Arabidopsis thaliana: one gene and its partners. The protein of the gene in region 2 interacts with the protein of the main gene of each other region in a pairwise test. Each region holds a gene or a part of one and is shown on either strand. Other genes may lie near its edges.

Region 1 (3,874 bases), on a different chromosome or scaffold from region 2:
TCATTTTTGTCATTAGTAAAGTAAGTATATTGGTTTTTGCCGTAACTGTCCCAAAACCTCTAATGATAACAAATACTATTCCAAATGTCAAATACCAAAATATCTCAATACCTGGCTACCTGCTGACAAAAGAAAGAAAAAGAACGCAGCCATTCTGTGATGTTGTCAAGATCGGTTTAGATTTCCGGTTATCAAAACAAACATTGGTGCCGGTTTAGTTAAAACACCCGACTTTTCTTCGCGATTGCAAATGATCTCGTTGGTCAATGTCATTTTCTTATCCATGCTATCGCCAAATCGCCAAATTATATTGGATAAAGTCACAATCGAATGATTCGCCCAAACGCTACCGAAACCATCGAACAAGTCTTTTATTGGTTAATTTTTCTTTAACAAAACCTTTGGTAAGTCATTTACTTGCAACTTATAGGTTATTAACTCATTTGGATTTGACGCGTTCAAACATTTAACACAGTCAAACTCCTAACAAGAGATTTCGACGTTAAACAGATCATCAAAACTTCAATTATAACAAAACTTCACAACAAAGATATTTATATTGGATCAAGAAAAACTAGGGAAACACAACAAAGTATTAGATAATAATTTGCATTCATTCATAGATTAGTACCAAGTGGTTACAATCTAACATTATAGTCTTATAAAACACGATTATATTAATACTATTTCATAATTAAAACCCTAAGGCACATCTATACAACGATCATCTTAGAAAAATCAGGCCCCAAAATCCATAATTAATTCTTATTAGCAGATAAAATACGAGATTAGTAAATAAAATAATATGAACACACTAAGATCCCTTCCTCTTTTCCTTGGAAGATATCCAAAAAAGCCAATGAGACTTCGAAATACGGTCAGATTTTTTTCTTTACATGAGCAGGTCAGATACCCACCCGACATCAGGAGCCTCACCCAAATTCTGATCCGGATCCTGGGCAACTCGATCCATGCAATTCTCCTTGTGCAGTTTCTCGCGCATCTTTTCTCGTAGCTCACGACCCGACTCAACGACACGCTCCATTACGGGTTCTTCCTCCAAACCATACTCCCAAATATCCAGATTCCCTGGTCGGGTCGGTGTTGTAGGCAGAGACTGAAACCCAGGACCCAAGATCGATCCACGGGGCGACCCGAATCCGAATAAAGGATTGTTACGAGGAAATGATTTTACCGAATTAAACTGTAAATTCCTAAACGAAGGAACGACGTCGTTTATCGAACAAGACCCGAGAGATCGACTCAGTGACTGAGTCATCGGAGAAGACTCCGAGTCAGCTCTTGGACTCATCGGTGGCGAACCAGAAACCGGAGAAATCGACAGCTGAAATGCTCTAGCACGAATCGGAGACGAAACGTCAAAAGAATCAACTCTGTCAGGGCTCCGAGTATGTAAAAACCTAAGCTGATCCGGTGAATGAGCAAAGAAACAAATTTTCCGGAGACAGTTACCACCGTCTTTACACGGCTGAGTACGGTAACGAGCTGGATGAAGCCAACACTCGAAAACACCATGAGCAAACTCACAAGAGTCACCTTTCTTGCAGCCACCTTTACGAAAATCAGGACAAGCCGTACCAGAGTAATGGTACTTCCTCGGATCTCTCCGGCGAGCTTTTTCTCCGGGATGAGCGTACGGACACTCCGTCCAATCATGACTCCGGCCACGAGCACACCTCCTGACTTTGAAATCGTACATACGGAAATGGTCGCATGAGTAAGCATCGATTGGTGAATCCGGACCCAATAGATCCGGGTATGACTCCGGATCCGGTTCGTTAGACGGCAAATAACGCTGCAACCCCGCCAAAGCTTCAAGCATGCTACAATCTGGACTATTCATCACCGGAGAAAAAAACTCCGACGTTGTAAGCTCTTCAAGTACCGGCCATGGAGGTATTTCAACAGTGGGATAAGTCCTGCGAGTTTCTCCGATCATCATCTTCTTTAATACTCCGGTGAACAATAAATCACATTAGTCGACGAAAGAGTTCTTTTTTTTTGTTTGTGTTGTTTGTTTGTAATACACCGGCAAAGCTACTTATGTAGTTGAAACACTTAACCGTGGTTTGGTTAAAATTATTTAACTATGGTTAAAGATATTAGCATAGGACTAGGTTATCGTAACAAAGCTGTGAGATAAGCATGTGAAACAGCGGCTGGAGACTTATCCACGAGATAGACGTACGTGGACCGTTTCGTGATGTGGACGTTTATCAAAATGACTTTGACGAAGTTTAAAGTAACCGAACTGTGAGCGTAAGGTTACTTTAGGATTATTAGATACGTTGAAGTCGGTCGAAGTTTAGATTCTCCGAAAGACGACAAAATAGATAATCCACAGTTTTAGTTTCATTAATTAGTCTATCCATTGCCTTATTACTTAATTTGTTTGTTTAATTATTCGTTGCATGTATCTCTTATTTTTTATATGATTCAATATAATAATTTATTGTTTATTATTGTCATTTTGATTTGAATATTATTATATATATCGAATGAGGTTATTGTATCATTTATCTAGCAATAAAAAAAAAGTTGTTTAATAATTTGCTGTTATCGAAAAAAATAATTTTATTTTTGATATGATCTGATAATTTGTTGTTTAGTATTGTCATTTTGAACCTAATATTATTGTATCTAAATCGTCAAAACAATTTCATTATATCACTTATTTAGCATCAAAACTATAAAAAAATTGTTTAATAATTTGTTATTATCGGAAAAATAATCTTATTTTTAATACCAAAATATCTGATAATTTGTTGTTTACTATTGTTCATTGTGATCTTAATATTGTTATATCTAATTCGTCAAAATGATTTTATTGTTTCACTTATCTAGCAACAAAACGACAAAAAGTTGTTTAATAATTTATTGTTATCGGAAAAAATGATCTTGTTTTTGATATGATACAAAGATATATGATACTTTGTTTATAATTTTCATTTTGATCCAAATATTGTTGTATCTAAGTTGTTGAAATGAATTCATTGTATCATTTATCTAACAACAAAACGATCGAAAATTATTTAATAATTTATTGTTATCAGGAAAAAATAATCTTACGACAAAAAGTTGTTTAATAATTTATTGTTATCGAAAAAAAAAAATTAATTTTTGATATGATTCGAAGAATTCTCATAATTTTATTGTGTATTGTTGTCATTTTAATTTGAATATTATTATATCTAAGTCAAATGATTTTATTGTATCACTTATAATTTCATTGTACCACTTATTTAGTAACAAAACGACAAAAAGTTGTTTGGTAATTTGTTGTTATTGGAAGAAAAAAAATATCTTACATAGTTCTCAAAAATTCGTTTTCAATTTTCGATTTAATTTTAGCAAAAAAAATTAGAGAAGAGGATAAGAAATGTGTCGGATGAAGAGGACATGTTGGAACAGATTTGGAATAACGTTTAAAGACTTTATAGGGGCAAAAACATTTATGTTTCTTTGCTAAATTTGGAAGCAATTCCATATCCTCCTAAACAAAATCGACCTCTCATTTATCCTTTGTTCTTTCTTTTTTGCACTTTTCTTTTCTTTCATATAAATGTATTTTCTCTTTTAAATTTTTATAAATTTGACAATTGTTTATCAAACTTATAGTTCAATCAAACAATTGACATGGTCAATATATTTGAGTGGTGGCGATATTAACATGTTGAATGAATAATAGAGAAATAATAGAAACATATTTCTATAAATCAATGTTTCCTAGATCTAACGAAGAAGACAGGTTGCGAAATATCTAAAAACGTGTAGCTCATCCGATTCAAGAAGCAATTATTATATTTCTTTATTTGGAAGATAGTGAAATTACACACGATTACGACACAATGTC
Region 2 (6,195 bases):
TGTCATAACTATATAAGAGGAGTGTGTATTTTTACATATAAATGTTATAATTAATTATGTCGTAGAATGTATGATTGAGGAATTTGATGGACCTAAGTACCTAACACTCATTTATTCACAATCTTATCATTTAATTTTGTTTGATTCTAATATCAGGTTTGATATTCTATACATGGCCAAGGAATTTGTGATTCACAAGTTTACCATCTTTTCAAAATCATGTAATGATTTATGCTACGAACTAAATGATATATTTAAATAGACTTTATTTATGTTAATTATATAATATGATAAATATAGCTAATTCTTATTGATACTAATTATATTGTTGAGGTTCTATCATTAATTTACGTGGTGAAACTGCAATTTGATTTGCGGAAATGATCTTATATCATTAGAAGGAACAACTAGGACACTGCTCTTTTACATATGTGCGAGTTTTACCAATAAGATATTGACTAACTACGAGACGAACATTAGTATTTGCTAATGTGTTTCGCTGATTTTCTAGGTTTTAGTCGTGACGTGAAATTCAGTAAGAAGCACAACGAAATGCCATCGGCTCATGTGTGTGAAAAAATTAAAAATTTATGGGCTGAACAATTCTAATTGCATGATGATTCGGGTTTAATTTAGGCCTCTGGAAAATCCAGGGCTTATTTCCATGCAAAATCTTAGGTCAGTATTGGGCCCGCCTTTCAAAAGCCCAATTTTAATTATTCGTTTTTGTTGTCCGATAAAAAATCCAGAAGAAGTCATCTCTCCCCTTAAAAACGGTAGTCAAAACTAAAAGACTCAAAGTGATTTCCAGTAAGTTTTGTAGAAAATAAAATAATTGTGGCCATTGGAGATTTAGCAAGGCTCATGGAAAAGTGATTGTTCTTTTTTCCCCATGATTCTAGTTATAAGGCCATCCTTGATGCATACATCAACACCATGACTGGTCCAAAATAGCATAGGTCTAAAGATGATGAAGCAAATGATAATCAGTTTATTCCGATAGAAGCAAATGAGGATGTCATCAATTGTGGATGTTATACCTGATTAGTTAAGCAAACCATTAGCACTATGTTTAGTTAGAAAAGAAGGAAATTATGATAGCCATAAAAATGCCAACATTTTCCCTTTTAAATTGCATTCGTGGTTTTTGAAATTTTATTATTTAATTAATTTGTTTTCTTTCAGTTGTCATTTGAATGGTTATCATAATTCGGTCTTATATTATTGATTTTTATTATTCGTTAGGTTTTTTTCAGTTGTCTGATGGAAAATTCAGAAGCCACCACTTACAAATCAAAAGTATAAAAAAAGACTCAAAAGAAGACTCCAAAATCCAAATAGTTTTTCTCCATTTTTTTTTTCTTTTTCCAGAAATTATAGTTATAGAAATAAATAGTTGTGGCCGTTGGAGATTTGCATTGGCCACGAGTCATGGAAAAGTGAATGTTCTTTTTCCATGATTCTTCTAGTCGGTCATGCTTGGTGCATGTATGAACACATATTTAAAGTTCTATACAAGTTGTTAGAATTCTTTTAAATTTAATTTGCTTTATTTATTTTTTTAGTTTTAGTTTTGGAAAATCATGGTCACACATCTTGAGCTACCGTTGTTATTTATATATAAATGTTCTTAATATTAAAAAATTATGAACCACAGGGCTAATAAACTTGAATATTTGTAGGGTCAATGGCTTTATTAATGTGTATATTTGTAGAAGAAAGCTGGGAAATATTCTATAAGTAAATTATCATCTTATACACTAATTTTTTAAAAATCCACGCCTAGTAATAAATTCCAATTTTTTTTAACTCAGTAATAAATTCCATTTTTTATTAAAAGTTTATTTCATAGAAGTACTTTTTTTTTTATGTGATAAAAGAAAAACTGAAGAAGGCCAATGAAAAATGAAGATCCCAAAGACATAAAAAGTGACAAAAGAGAAGAATAAAGAAAGACCAACAACACCACTTGGGGGAGGCTCCCATACACAAAACGAAGGCGCGAATTTCAAGGACTCTTCTCGACGACCAAACCACATAAAACACTCTTACCAGAATTTGTGTTGTCTTCGTTCATTTCCTTCTCCTCTTCTTCTTCTTCTTCGTCGTAATTTTGATTGTTTCTTTGCGAAAAGTCGTTTTTTTAATCAAGTCTGAATCACGTTTTATTGATCTACACTCGCGTGGGTTCTCCGTTTCGTGCTTAGATCAGAGAGCTCCCTCCCGTGATTCCGTAAGATTTCTGCGTTTCTCATTACTTGGTTTCATTTCAACGTAGATTCTGAATTTTGTGTGATCTAGTCTACACATTTTTTTTTAATTCTTTCCTCTGCTCCTAAATTCCAGAATTCAGACAACGGTTGCGATATTTCTTATGTCTTTTTTTCTATCGTTGTTCATTTCAGAAGTTTCGATATAAAAAAGGTTATTGTTGGATTTTGAGTAACACATTGTCCTCAATTCTCATCGTTCTTCAATCAAATTTTGGATTTTGAGCATCATGGATGATGGATCTATGCATTTTGATTTTATATTGTACAGAAAGAATGTTTCTTGTTTTGTTTTGATGATGTTTTCTTATGACAACAATCTTCATGTTTTTGTAGGAGCTTTAAGGTCGGAAATGGCGGCTCATGTTTCTACTGGAAACATTCATAATTTCTATCTTGCGGGGCAGGTTTACAGGGGACAAGCTTTTTCATGGAGTTCTGCTTCTACTTTCATGGCAAATCCATTCAAAGAGCCCTCTTGGTATCACTTCTTTTAATCTTTAATCCCAAATTTTGTCCCTTTTGTGTAGCAATTGGCATTTTGAGGTTCATGTTTCTCATTTATGATTTTGCTCTTTGTTCTCATGTAGAACTTTAACTAGTTAGACCTATAGTTTCTCATGCTGGACTCAAACTTTTATAATCTCTGTGTGCATATAGGTCAAGTGGGGTATTTAAGGCTCTAAAAGCTGAGAGATGTGGTTGTTACTCTCGTGGTATTTCCCCCATCAGTGAGACCTCAAAACCTATCAGGGCTGTTTCGGTATCTTCTTCAACAAAGTATTATGATTTCACTGTGATTGGTAGTGGAGTAGCGGGTCTGCGTTATGCTTTAGAAGTTGCAAAGCAAGGAACAGTCGCAGTGATTACCAAAGATGAGCCTCATGAGAGTAACACAAACTATGCTCAAGGTGGTGTTAGTGCTGTGTTATGCCCTTTGGATTCTGTTGAAAGTCATATGCGGGACACTATGGTCGCTGGTGCTCATCTTTGTGATGAAGAAACCGTAAGAGTAAGTTCCCTTTGTTGCTGATCATTACCTCAAAACTGTTTGATAAGTGCTTGTGTTAGTCTCGTGCATAAGCATTTTGTAATGGTCTAAACCTGTCTCACTTTTCTGTATCTGAATGTTCTTTTTCAGGTTGTGTGTACTGAAGGGCCTGAAAGGATTCGTGAACTGATTGCAATGGGAGCATCATTTGATCACGGCGAGGATGGAAATTTGCATTTGGCCAGAGAGGGTGGTCACTCGCATTGTAGGATCGTTCACGCTGCTGATATGACAGGAAGAGAGATTGAGAGAGCTTTACTTGAAGCTGTACTTAATGATCCCAACATATCTGTCTTCAAACACCATTTTGCAATCGATCTGCTCACTTCTCAGGTTCCACTTCACACCCTTGAAAAACACATGTGCATATATGATCAATTGGCTTATCAGATCATATCTTTTTGTATCTTAACAGGATGGCTTGAACACAGTTTGTCATGGTGTGGACACTTTGAATATCAAAACTAATGAGGTACACAAAGATCTTGTTTCTGGTGGTTTGATCATTCACCTTATATCTTAGATTGTAATGTAAAAAAAACTCATGTTTCTTCAGGTAGTACGCTTTATATCGAAGGTGACATTGCTTGCTTCAGGTGGAGCTGGGCATATCTATCCATCAACCACAAATCCTCTGGTAACATTTTCTATAGACTCTCTTTTTAACAAAGCTCTATGGAAGTTTCATTTTACCAATTTTATCAGAAGAAAGAATGTGCAGGATCAACACAACAGTTTTGTGTGTTTATGGGAAATATCCAAAAATGAAACTTTGATTAAGTAATGTGATTTATCCCTTGAATACAAAAGAAAATGTCGAAATTATCACGGGTATACACAAACATACTGCATTAGAGTTTTAGATTTAATAGTTCAAACAGTTGCAGAAACAAAGAGATTTTAGTCATAGAGTACATTTTTTTGCTAAATTCGGTTGTGCTAGTCGCAATGATATTTCTCTAAAAGTGATATATTATGCTCCATTTTAATTATCGACATGGTTTTTGTATAGGTGGCTACTGGAGATGGGATGGCGATGGCTCATCGAGCTCAAGCTGTGATCTCAAATATGGAGTAAGTGAACACCGAAAAACCGACTGAAGAAACTTGTTGACAATAAACTTATGTTTTGTATTTGTTTTTGGTTAGATTTGTGCAGTTTCATCCTACTGCCCTAGCCGACGAAGGTCTTCCCATCAAACTACAAACTGCTAGGGAAAACGCGTTCCTCATCACCGAGGCGGTGAGAGGTGATGGTGGCATCCTCTATAATCTAGGAATGGAGCGATTCATGCCTGTTTACGATGAACGAGCTGAGCTTGCTCCAAGAGACGTGGTTGCAAGAAGTATTGATGACCAGCTTAAGAAACGAAACGAAAAGTATGTGTTACTTGACATAAGCCATAAGCCAAGAGAAAAGATTCTTGCCCATTTCCCGAACATAGCTTCTGAATGTCTTAAACACGGTCTGGATATCACCCGTCAGCCTATTCCGGTTGTCCCTGCAGCCCATTACATGTGTGGAGGAGTTCGTGCTGGTTTACAAGGCGAAACCAATGTCCTTGGATTGTTTGTAGCAGGTGAAGTAGCATGTACAGGCCTCCACGGGGCAAATCGTCTTGCTAGTAACTCGCTTTTAGAAGCTCTGGTTTTCGCGAGACGGGCTGTTCAGCCTTCGACTGAGCTCATGAAACGCACAAGACTTGATGTATGCGCATCAGAGAAATGGACAAGGCCTGTTGTTGCGACAGCTAGATTGCTAGGAGATGAAGTAATAGCAAAGATTATAGCTTTGACTAAAGAAGTGAGAAGAGAGCTTCAGGAGGTAATGTGGAAGTATGTTGGTATTGTCAGATCGACAATTCGGCTCACCACTGCTGAGAGGAAAATCGCAGAGCTAGAAGCAAAATGGGAAACATTTTTGTTTGAACATGGATGGGAACAAACAGTGGTAGCTCTTGAAGCTTGTGAGATGAGAAACTTGTTCTGTTGCGCTAAGCTTGTGGTGAGCAGCGCGTTAGCTAGACATGAAAGCAGAGGTCTTCATTACATGACAGACTTTCCTTTTGTGGAAGAAAGCAAGCGGATTCCGACGATTATTCTACCGTCTTCTCCTACAACAGCTAGTTGGAGCTCAAGGCGGTTACAGAATATAAGTAGCAGCTCACTTATTGATTGCTAAAACTGCAGGAGTTTTTGTTCTTATTTGAATCCAAACCTCTCTGATTATTGTATCAATTTGAAAAAATTTGGATCTCAAAAGGAATCTCTGATTCTGACACTCTGTAATACAAAAGGAAATAAATTATTCATTTGAGATATCAATCATATTGGTAATTCATATTTCAATTCCTTTGTTATGGTTTATTGATGACTTTCTGAATGAAAGAAACAACTGTGAGTGTGGATTTCCCAAGCAAGAAGCAGGATTGAGAACAGTCTTGTGTTCACTGACTCCATATCCTCGGTTCCTTTTTTTTCTGAGTAAATCATTCCAAAAGCTTCTATCCTTCTCCTGAGGAAATCACGAGCTCCAAGCTCGGGTATGGCTTCCATGACCAGACCAAACATGAATTCATTCTTCCTGTCTTCTTCAACTAGACCAGGGTGTGATCTGAGAAGGCTGCACAAAGGCACATCCATTAATAATCAGAGATCTCTTCTGCAATGTCGCTTTAGAACAGCCTAGTTACTAGTTACATCCAGAAACCAGCTAGATCATAAGTCTTGCCTGCTCTGCAGCTGCCATCGCCGTTCTGCTACAATGAAATTCAAAGGGTATTTTCAGGAGATAGTTTTGGCTCGTGCAATTTGATTTAACAAAGAATAAAGATATCCTGAATTACAATGTGAAGAAGTACTATGGTGCACCAT
Region 3 (4,449 bases), on a different chromosome or scaffold from region 2:
GCCCATATTCCAGAAATATCCAGCCGAGGTATATATACATATATATATATATTACTCATCTTTTCATAACCTCGATTTGCATCTCCTGAGAGATATTGATGTATGAGTTTCTTTCAGATTCTTATCGCTATGGACAGAGCAGATGAGATGACAGGAAAGATGGAAGAGATACATAACAACTTGAAAGTTGCATACTCTCAGATACCAACGTGTTCTGAAGAATCCAGCAAAGCTGGTTGCACTTCTCCTTGCTCAGATCAGGAGTTACCAGATTCTGAAGAGTTGAAGCCTGAGAAAGAGAATCTTAAAGCTGATTACATATGGGAGTTCCAGAGAAGTAAATCTGGTCTTGATCTTGAGGTGAAATCCTGTCCCAGTGCTTCCCCAATTCGTAATTCCCCAGGGTTTGCCGAGATCTACAAACGAACATAGATACTTGAGTTACAATGTATACTTTATAACTCTGCAGATGAAAAGGTGTTTTTGCAGTTGAGTTACAATTTTAGTAGTTGAAACCCTTATGGGTGATGAAAGTAAGAAGTGGGGAAAGCCATTGAAACGTATATACAGTTTTGCCTCCTAAAATGAAATGTAAATTTGGAGTTACTGCAGGAGGAAATGAAACTATCCTTGGAAACACTTGTCTACAAGTACAATAGACGATTCTTTTCTTTGTCATAGTTTTGTGAAAGACATTGACTTTACGATATAGAAATGAGCAAAAGAGCTTTCTGTTTCTATCTCATATATATGTTTATAGTGTTCTTCATTGTCGTGTATACACAGCTTAAAATGCAGAGTAATCTCCTTTGTGGCAAAATATTGAAGATTGTTATTCTTCAGTTGATATCTGTGACCCATCCCTTGTTATCTTCAATCAATCCTGTCTGGATACCTACGAGGACTGAACGCAGTTTCTGGCAGACAGATTCATCCCCGGTTTTATACTCTACTCTGAATGTTTCAGAAAGATTACATCAGTCCATTTCTTTGCTTAAGGCTTGAGTAAAACTTGATTCAGGCATTGAGATTTACCTTTTTTCCTGATATGTGATAGTGCCCACGGGAGCAACTACTACAGCAGTTCCGGTGCAAAAAACTTCATCTGCATCCATTACTTCATCCACATGAACTGCCTTCTCTACTACCTGATCATAACTCAGGTGTGAAACTTAGCTGAGTTTAGTTTTTGGGTGTTTAGAGTGATTCAATCTTATCTGTGTTACCTGATAACCTTGATCACTTGCGATCTCCATCACACTTTTCCGCGTAATCCCTTCAAGAATTGTTCCATTAGTTGCAGGAGTTGAGATTGTCCGACCCTGAATCAATGATACAATTAGGATGCAACAAAGAGACATGGAGACACCACAATATATCTTACCTTGACAACAAAGACGTTGCAAGAAGAAGCCTCCTCTAAGTACTTCTTCTTGACAGAGTCGAGATAAAGAACGTCTGAAAACCCCCGACTCTTGGCTCTGCTCAGTGCTTTCAAAACCTACAAACACGTGGTTTATCAAAACTCTTTTTCTGACTCTGGTCTTTGAGAAACTAAGTTGGTTTCAACACTTACTGGCGCATAATTTGTGATGCTCTTGACGCCTCCAGCTCCACCAGGAGCCGCTCGGACATATTCTTCCTCAACATAGAGGTTAAGAGCAGCCATCCCTTCCTACAAATCAGTGAACAAAACATTTGCTAATCGTTCCATCGCCAAAAAGCATGGACATGCAAGAGTATTGTATATACCTTGAAGTAGTTACCAACTGGAGATGCATAGACAATGAATGTATATTCAGGTGCAGGACCTAAACCAAGTATTGGACCACTTCCCATCAACAAAGGCCTAATGTACAAAGTCCCTTTCCCTGCAGGAGGAACCTGAACAAACACATCATCACTTATCAGATCCCAAAAACAAACCTCTTCAGAAGAAATATACGTCACAAGAAAGCGTTTTTACCCAACGTTTGTTTGCAAGAGCGGTTTGTTTAACTGCATTAACAAACTGATCAACCGAAGGAGAAGGCATGAGCATCCGTTCAGCGCCAAGCTTCATCCGGATAGCGTTGTGATCCGGACGAAACAAAAGAAGCTTCCCATTTTCTTTCCTGTATGCTTTTGTACCTTCGTATATCGCCTGCAAAGAATCCCAAAACCTCTATTGATCATACAGTTGAGAAACAAATCAAGAAACATTTGGGGGTTACGAGATCCTTGCCTGTCCATAGTTTAAGACTCCAGCAGAAGGACTTAGCTGAATATTCCCATAGGGACTAAGTTCTCCTTGAGTGAATTCGCCGTCTTTTGAGCATTTCATGACATACATGTAATCAGCTGGATTTAGACCAAACCCGAGATTATCCCAATCCAAATCCGCATATACATCATCTCCATTTCTATATGATACAATTACAACAAATTTGAAACAGAGCTTTTTCCAATGGTAACAAAATATCTATATGACCTGGCTGGATCATGAAAAAGAGAACTTACTGATAAAGAGGTTTCTTACGCTCTTCTCGCAAAGCCGATGCAGCTTGTGCGTTGTACTTGGCGAAAGTTTGTAGCTATTTCATCAGGACAAAAAAAACAGAACATAAAACATGTTTGTATCTGAGATCCGAGTTATGTCTCTAAGTAAGTAATCATCATTAGATTGTAAGAATCCAGTTTATACCGTACGAATATGTAAATGAAGAGGTAGAACCAGAGTTTTGCGTAGAGATGTGATTGTTTTGATCATCTTCTTTTGCAGAGCCTCTGTTTTAATTCTCTTGATTTCAATAATAATAAAAAAAACAACAAAATAAAGAAATGAAGAGAGAATTTTGTTGAATGATATACCGAAAAAGAAGGTGGAAGAGAAAACACAAAGAAGAGTGTCAAATTAAGTATCCAACACGTAAGTGAATGCGGAGCTTATGTACAGTGTCTGCTTTTATCTTGGCAAATCGTTGAATTTGTTTTATTTTTTTTCTTATTTTTATCTTTTAGTGGTAAGAGTTCTTATCTTATTTTTGTGTTTCTTTTGCTTCGTCACTTGTGTCTATCTGCCCTGATCAGACAGATCTAGACGTGTCTTTCTGAAACTAGATTTTAACGAAATCAACGGACTATTGTTCTTTTCTCGTTCTCTTATGGGGTAAATAAATGAAGAAAATTAGTGGTGTATCTTCAAAATGGAGATTTCTATTTTTGAACTGTAAACTATTGTAAGTTGGTATAAATATCAATTTAGCAATGTTTCTTCGGCACGCAATTACCTAAAGTATACAAACAAATACTTGACGAAAAAACAAAATACAGACAAGTACTAATTTCAGTAATTTTCCATGAGATGTGAAATAGTAAACTAGTGATGTGAAAGCCACGTTGGACCAAGAGGTCTTTGTCGGATAAACAATTTTCTTTCCATGTCAATCTTTTAGACCATATTGTTGTCTTTTCAACGTCTTTGTCCGTAACTACCCAAATGGGAGATAAACACGTTGTGGAGATTGACAGCCACGTCAGTCTGAGAACTTTTCTTATCTGATAACAACGTTTTTGCTAAGATGGCTTACTAATGAATATTGATGTCCCTTTCCAGTATCGTCGTATCACTAGTGTCATCGACTATTAGTACACACTTGACGCGAGCACACTCCTTCGTTTTCTTATAAATATCTTTAAAAAAAAAAATTCAAATTATAAATATACCAAACCTAGTGGAACAATCAACGAACCTCATTTCTTTGAAAAATCTTAAATCGCATTTGTCGTGTCTTATCAAAGAATCTTAGACAGTCTTGTGTGTGGAATCTACAATATTTACAAAAAAAAAAAAGTTTCGACAAAATTGTTTTTTTTCTAAAAGCGAATATACCGCCGTAGAGTCTGGCAAATAGAATCTGAGGAGGCTGATCATACAGCAATGGTATTTTGAACCAATGGTGGCAAAATGCCACAAAGACAAACCATTAGATTACATATCCTGACCTTGAAGTTGAAGGTCTTTAGTTTTGCTTTTGTCTCTTTGGAAGAGTGAAACAAATGTTTAATACTAATACGATGTGGTGATATATCACAAATTTATGTCACAAATTTACCAAAAACTATTTCAAAAGCTTTTGATGGGTGATCAAGAGAGTGCAACATTATTTATAGGATATGAAAGTAACTTAGGCAATCTGCAAAACCCAATCTTTAGTGTCTTGGATAGAACCAGTTTGTATTCCGACAAGAATAGATCGAAGTTGCTGTGTAACAATCCCATCTCCAACTTTGTACTCAGTCCTGCAGATTATTTATCAACAGATAAATGTAAAATTCTAAGCATATGTATACATGTATCCAGAGAGGAAGAAGAGACCTTGTGTTCTTAAAAGTGATGCTTCCAACAGAAGCAACTCCAGCGGCAGTTCCAGTGCAGAAAACTTCTTCAGCTTCCTTCAGTTCTTCTAC
Region 4 (4,499 bases), on a different chromosome or scaffold from region 2:
TCCGGATAAGCCAAAGTCAAAATGATGGGTTCCCCCTAATCTTTTATGCTGAGAAATAGATGTATATTCTTAGATAGTAATATAAAATTGGGTTAAAGAATGATGATTCGATTATAGCCTCAACTAGAAGATACGTGTAGTGCAGGTGTGTAGTTAACTGGTGGTAGTGGCAGACAACCAGATTAGGAGTTAAATAAAGCCTTTAGATTTGAGAGATTGAAATATTCGATTGGAACCTTTCTAGATTTTTACAGCCATCTAAAATTAGATGCAGATCACCTACTACCATTCAAAAATGAACAAAATAATTTCATTTACATTTTCCTAGCATAAGATATAATAATAAAATAGTGCTCATTTTAATTACTTTTTCTAAATATTTTCGTTATTTTAAATTTTGCTTGTCTATACTCTACAGCTCATTTAATAACGGAAACAAAAATAATTGCAGGGATACGGATGGGTAGCTTTCAAAACTTACATCATCTTCTGTTTCTTGAGATCAACTATTTTTGGAGCTTTGTCTCAATCGTACCAAAGGATAATGGTCCTACCTCCTTTTGCATTCTTAACTTTATCTTCTCTACTTATTTCTTTTTTGGGATTTTTGGGGGTATTATTTTATCTTTTGTAGATATACACATTGATTTACTACAAACGTATACTACTATCCATCTTCAACTCTTCGGAATATGATTTCGAAAAAACTATGAAGATTAACGGGTATCTTAAACATGTTAAGATACACCGGACAATTTTCATTTAGAAGAATTGATATGCAATTAACAATAAATAGTTGATGATCTTTTAGTTTTGAAGATGTGCGTTAAGACTTAAGCGTGTGGTAACAAGGTGGGACTCGGGCAACGCAAAGCCTTGTAGAGTCCACTTGCTCAACTTGTCTTTCTTTTATCTCTTTTCCAAGTCTCAAGATTCAATGAACTCCGTGTAACACAAACACGCCCATAGATGAGCTCATTTTTGGTATTTCCAATATTGCCACTCCATGATAATATCATCTAGGGATGGGGTTCATTTATTTTGAAATCTCAACAAATCTCGTCGATTCTAACACACATGATTGATTTGTTTACTTACTTGAAAGTTGGCAACTATCTGGGATTAAAATTTATCTTTTTCTACTGCTAGCTAGAAGCATCTATATATGTTAGCCTAATACGTGGAAGATGTCATTGCTAATAATGGCTAAAGATGTGTATTAATTTTTCTTCTTTTTTCCTTGAATTTTTGTTCTTTGACATAAACTATGCTGTCAAAATGTGTAGAATCTTTTTACATAAATCATTCCCTGTTACACACTAAAAGGTTCACAACGGACGATTGTATTGGACTTCCAGATCATAAACCATGCAAAACTGAAAACCACAAGAATAATTAGTTCTAACTTTAGAACGTTCGTACGTGTTTCATGTTCAAAAAGCGTCAATTATAAAAGTTGGGAAATTACTTTTGAGTTTTGACATTTCTAAGGACAGTCAAATATGACAACATTGGGATGCAACTTACCTTGTATTAACTTATTTTGTTATAAAACCATATATTACATATTTTAAAGGGTTGATAAATAATCAAATATACCAAAACATAGCTTTTCAATATATTTGTAAAACACGTTTGGTCTACTAGCTAATTATGAGAACATTTGTTCAATGCATGATTATCTAGTATCTACTAGTGGATTATGAAAATTAGATATTTTCATTGCATGATTATCTTCCATATATAGTGATAACATCAAAAGAATCTACACCAATTATTGCATTTTTTCATTATATAATAAGCACTAAACTGTAAAATTATATTCAGCCACCCAAACCATGACAAATCACCTTAAAGGCTTAAACACATAACAGCCATTACGAGTCACAGGTAAGGGTATAATAGTAAAGAATCAATCTATATAATATACGACCCACCCTTTCTCATTCTTTCTGGAGAGTAACATCGAGACAAAGAAGAAAAACTAAAAAAGAGAACCCCAAAGAATCGAATATTTATTATTTCGCCCCGAAGATTCTATTTCTGATCATTTACACCCCTAAAAAGAGTAGAGCTTTCGTGAAGCCACCATGTGTGGAGGAGCTATAATCTCCGATTTCATACCTCCGCCGAGGTCCCTCCGCGTCACTAACGAGTTTATCTGGCCGGATCTGAAAAACAAAGTGAAAGCTTCAAAGAAGAGATCGAATAAGCGATCCGATTTCTTCGATCTTGACGATGATTTCGAAGCTGATTTCCAAGGGTTTAAGGATGACTCGGCTTTTGACTGCGAAGACGATGATGATGTCTTCGTCAATGTTAAGCCTTTCGTCTTCACCGCAACTACTAAGCCCGTAGCTTCCGCTTTCGTCTCCACTGGTATATATTTGGGTTTGATTCGAATCTCAACTTTTATTTGAATTGGAAAGCTCATGAAATTTTTAGATCTTTAGGTTTTCAGAGGCTTTTCTTAGTTTATAGCTTAGTCTTTGGAATTGGTTGATCTCACTGGTCTTGTAACCATCTGCTGTTACTATGTTGATTATATACCAGCTTACCGTCCTTAGCTCCTGAAGGGATGCAGTTTTGTTTGTTCTATTCAGCTTATGATTGATATTGTGTGTGTTTGGCTACAGTAGGTTCAGCATATGCCAAGAAAACTGTAGAGTCCGCTGAGCAAGCTGAGAAATCTTCTAAGAGGAAGAGGAAGAATCAATACCGAGGGATTAGGCAGCGTCCTTGGGGAAAATGGGCTGCGGAGATCCGTGATCCGAGAAAAGGCTCCCGAGAATGGCTTGGAACATTCGACACTGCTGAGGAAGCAGCAAGAGCTTATGATGCTGCAGCACGCAGAATCCGTGGCACGAAAGCTAAGGTGAATTTTCCCGAGGAGAAGAACCCTAGCGTCGTATCCCAGAAACGTCCTAGTGCTAAGACTAATAATCTTCAGAAATCAGTGGCTAAACCAAACAAAAGCGTAACTTTGGTTCAGCAGCCAACACATCTGAGTCAGCAGTACTGCAACAACTCCTTTGACAACTCTTTTGGTGATATGAGTTTCATGGAAGAGAAGCCTCAGATGTACAACAATCAGTTTGGGTTAACAAACTCGTTCGATGCTGGAGGTAACAATGGATACCAGTATTTCAGTTCCGATCAGGGCAGTAACTCCTTCGACTGTTCTGAGTTCGGGTGGAGTGATCACGGCCCTAAAACACCCGAGATCTCTTCAATGCTTGTCAATAACAACGAAGCATCATTTGTTGAAGAAACCAATGCAGCCAAGAAGCTCAAACCAAACTCTGATGAGTCAGACGATCTGATGGCATACCTTGACAACGCCTTGTGGGACACCCCACTAGAAGTGGAAGCCATGCTTGGCGCAGATGCTGGTGCTGTGACTCAGGAAGAGGAAAACCCAGTGGAGCTATGGAGCTTAGATGAGATCAATTTCATGCTGGAAGGAGACTTTTGAAGTGATCGATGGTTCCTTAGTTTGTAAATAAAGCTGTGTTGGTGAGTTACAGTTACAAGCTCTTCTTGTTGAATCGTAAAGACAAACAACCTAAGTGTTGGTTTCAGGATTAATCTTCTGTCGTTCTTTTTTGGTTGTTTCAGGATTTTGCTGTTGGGGGATGGTACAAGTCACACCTCAAGCTCTATGCATTGGTATCTCATGAGCCTCTCTTCCATAGAGAGTTTCTCTTTTAATTTTGTCGAAATAAAAAAGGTGTGATGAAGTAAATAGAGGTATAATAATATCTATCTATTAAGTCTTGTTTTGTTCTTTCATTTTTGTATTTCTTTTCTATTTAAAAGACAGTTTATTAGTCTTCTGAGCTCTCTTTTTGATCTTTGTTATAGCGTATCATCACCCTCGAAAGTGTAATGTTTTGTACCCCCAAACTTGTTTAGCATTATAATAAAGTCTCTTTGGAACTTCTCTATCTGTTCAATGAATCTTCTCTGCCTAACTTTGCTTGATTGATTTTGAGAAATATGCCTTATTTATTCATTAGTTTTGAATAATTCAAACAACTTTCACTTTAAAAGCAATTAGAAAGATTCTTCGTACACCTCGAAAACAATAGATTTAAAAAAGCTTCAGGAAACAAGACCGAACCAGACAAAGAACGTGCCTGGTAATAAGGAAAAATGAGACAGAATTGAGTTTTGTCCTGTAAACTTTCTCGTGAACCATTTGATGAAAATACAAAAATAATAATACACCCACATGGCCACATTGCTTACAAGAAAATATTGGAAATCATCAAAATGATTCTGTAGGGTAACTAAAGGCTTAAGGCTGTCTAGATGAAGATTCATTGTTCAATCAACGAGTTTGCGACTAATTCTTTTCCCAAGTACACCGTGAAATTCCCATTATCATAAGACAACATTTTACTATGGATAACAGAGAAACCAAAACTAGTTTTCCAATCTATGACACTATGACAGTCTGAGTCGTCACCGTAATCACTTGTTTTGGAAGTAAGTTA

The links.
Region 1: the proteins of AO (region 2) and OZF2 interact in a two-hybrid assay, tested with the Arabidopsis thaliana proteins (one large-scale study listed by BioGRID).
Region 3: the proteins of AO (region 2) and BCAT-2 interact in a two-hybrid assay, tested with the Arabidopsis thaliana proteins (one large-scale study listed by BioGRID).
Region 4: the proteins of AO (region 2) and RAP2.2 interact in a two-hybrid assay, tested with the Arabidopsis thaliana proteins (one large-scale study listed by BioGRID).

The regions. Positions count from the first base shown.
Region 1 is NC_003075.7:14,391,341-14,395,214, forward strand, and holds OZF2 (Zinc finger C-x8-C-x5-C-x3-H type family protein), read right to left. Parts: upstream 2,042-3,874; 5' UTR 1,964-2,041; coding exon 893-1,963; 3' UTR 509-892; downstream 1-508.
Region 2 is NC_003076.8:4,766,510-4,772,704, forward strand, and holds AO (L-aspartate oxidase), read left to right. Parts: upstream 1-1,753; 5' UTR 1,754-2,233; intron 2,234-2,606; 5' UTR 2,607-2,623; coding exon 2,624-2,751; intron 2,752-2,930; coding exon 2,931-3,282; intron 3,283-3,411; coding exon 3,412-3,654; intron 3,655-3,736; coding exon 3,737-3,793; intron 3,794-3,877; coding exon 3,878-3,958; intron 3,959-4,333; coding exon 4,334-4,395; intron 4,396-4,470; coding exon 4,471-5,503; 3' UTR 5,504-5,644; downstream 5,645-6,195. UniProt on the Arabidopsis thaliana protein: Catalyzes the oxidation of L-aspartate to iminoaspartate. Can complement nadB-deficient E.coli mutant. Plays a role in stomatal immunity.
Region 3 is NC_003070.9:3,286,555-3,291,003, reverse strand, and holds BCAT-2 (branched-chain amino acid transaminase 2), read right to left. Parts: upstream 2,918-4,449; 5' UTR 2,750-2,917; coding exon 2,684-2,749; exon of another isoform or gene 2,574-2,683; coding exon 2,500-2,573; intron 2,403-2,499; coding exon 2,225-2,402; intron 2,144-2,224; coding exon 1,967-2,143; intron 1,885-1,966; coding exon 1,753-1,884; intron 1,676-1,752; coding exon 1,577-1,675; intron 1,502-1,576; coding exon 1,385-1,501; intron 1,323-1,384; coding exon 1,227-1,322; intron 1,149-1,226; coding exon 1,036-1,148; intron 955-1,035; coding exon 840-954; 3' UTR 533-839; downstream 1-532. Other genes in the region: AT1G10090 (Early-responsive to dehydration stress protein (ERD4)), read left to right, coding at 1-28, 118-432; BCAT-1 (branched-chain amino acid transaminase 1), read right to left, coding at 4,167-4,281, 4,358-4,449. UniProt on the Arabidopsis thaliana protein: Converts 2-oxo acids to branched-chain amino acids. Shows activity with L-Leu, L-Ile and L-Val as amino donors and 2-oxoglutarate as an amino acceptor, but no activity for D-isomers of Leu, Ile, Val, Asp, Glu or Ala.
Region 4 is NC_003074.8:4,736,592-4,741,090, reverse strand, and holds RAP2.2 (uncharacterized protein), read left to right. Parts: upstream 1-1,954; 5' UTR 1,955-2,090; coding exon 2,091-2,391; intron 2,392-2,636; coding exon 2,637-3,475; 3' UTR 3,476-3,516; intron 3,517-3,618; 3' UTR 3,619-3,945; downstream 3,946-4,499.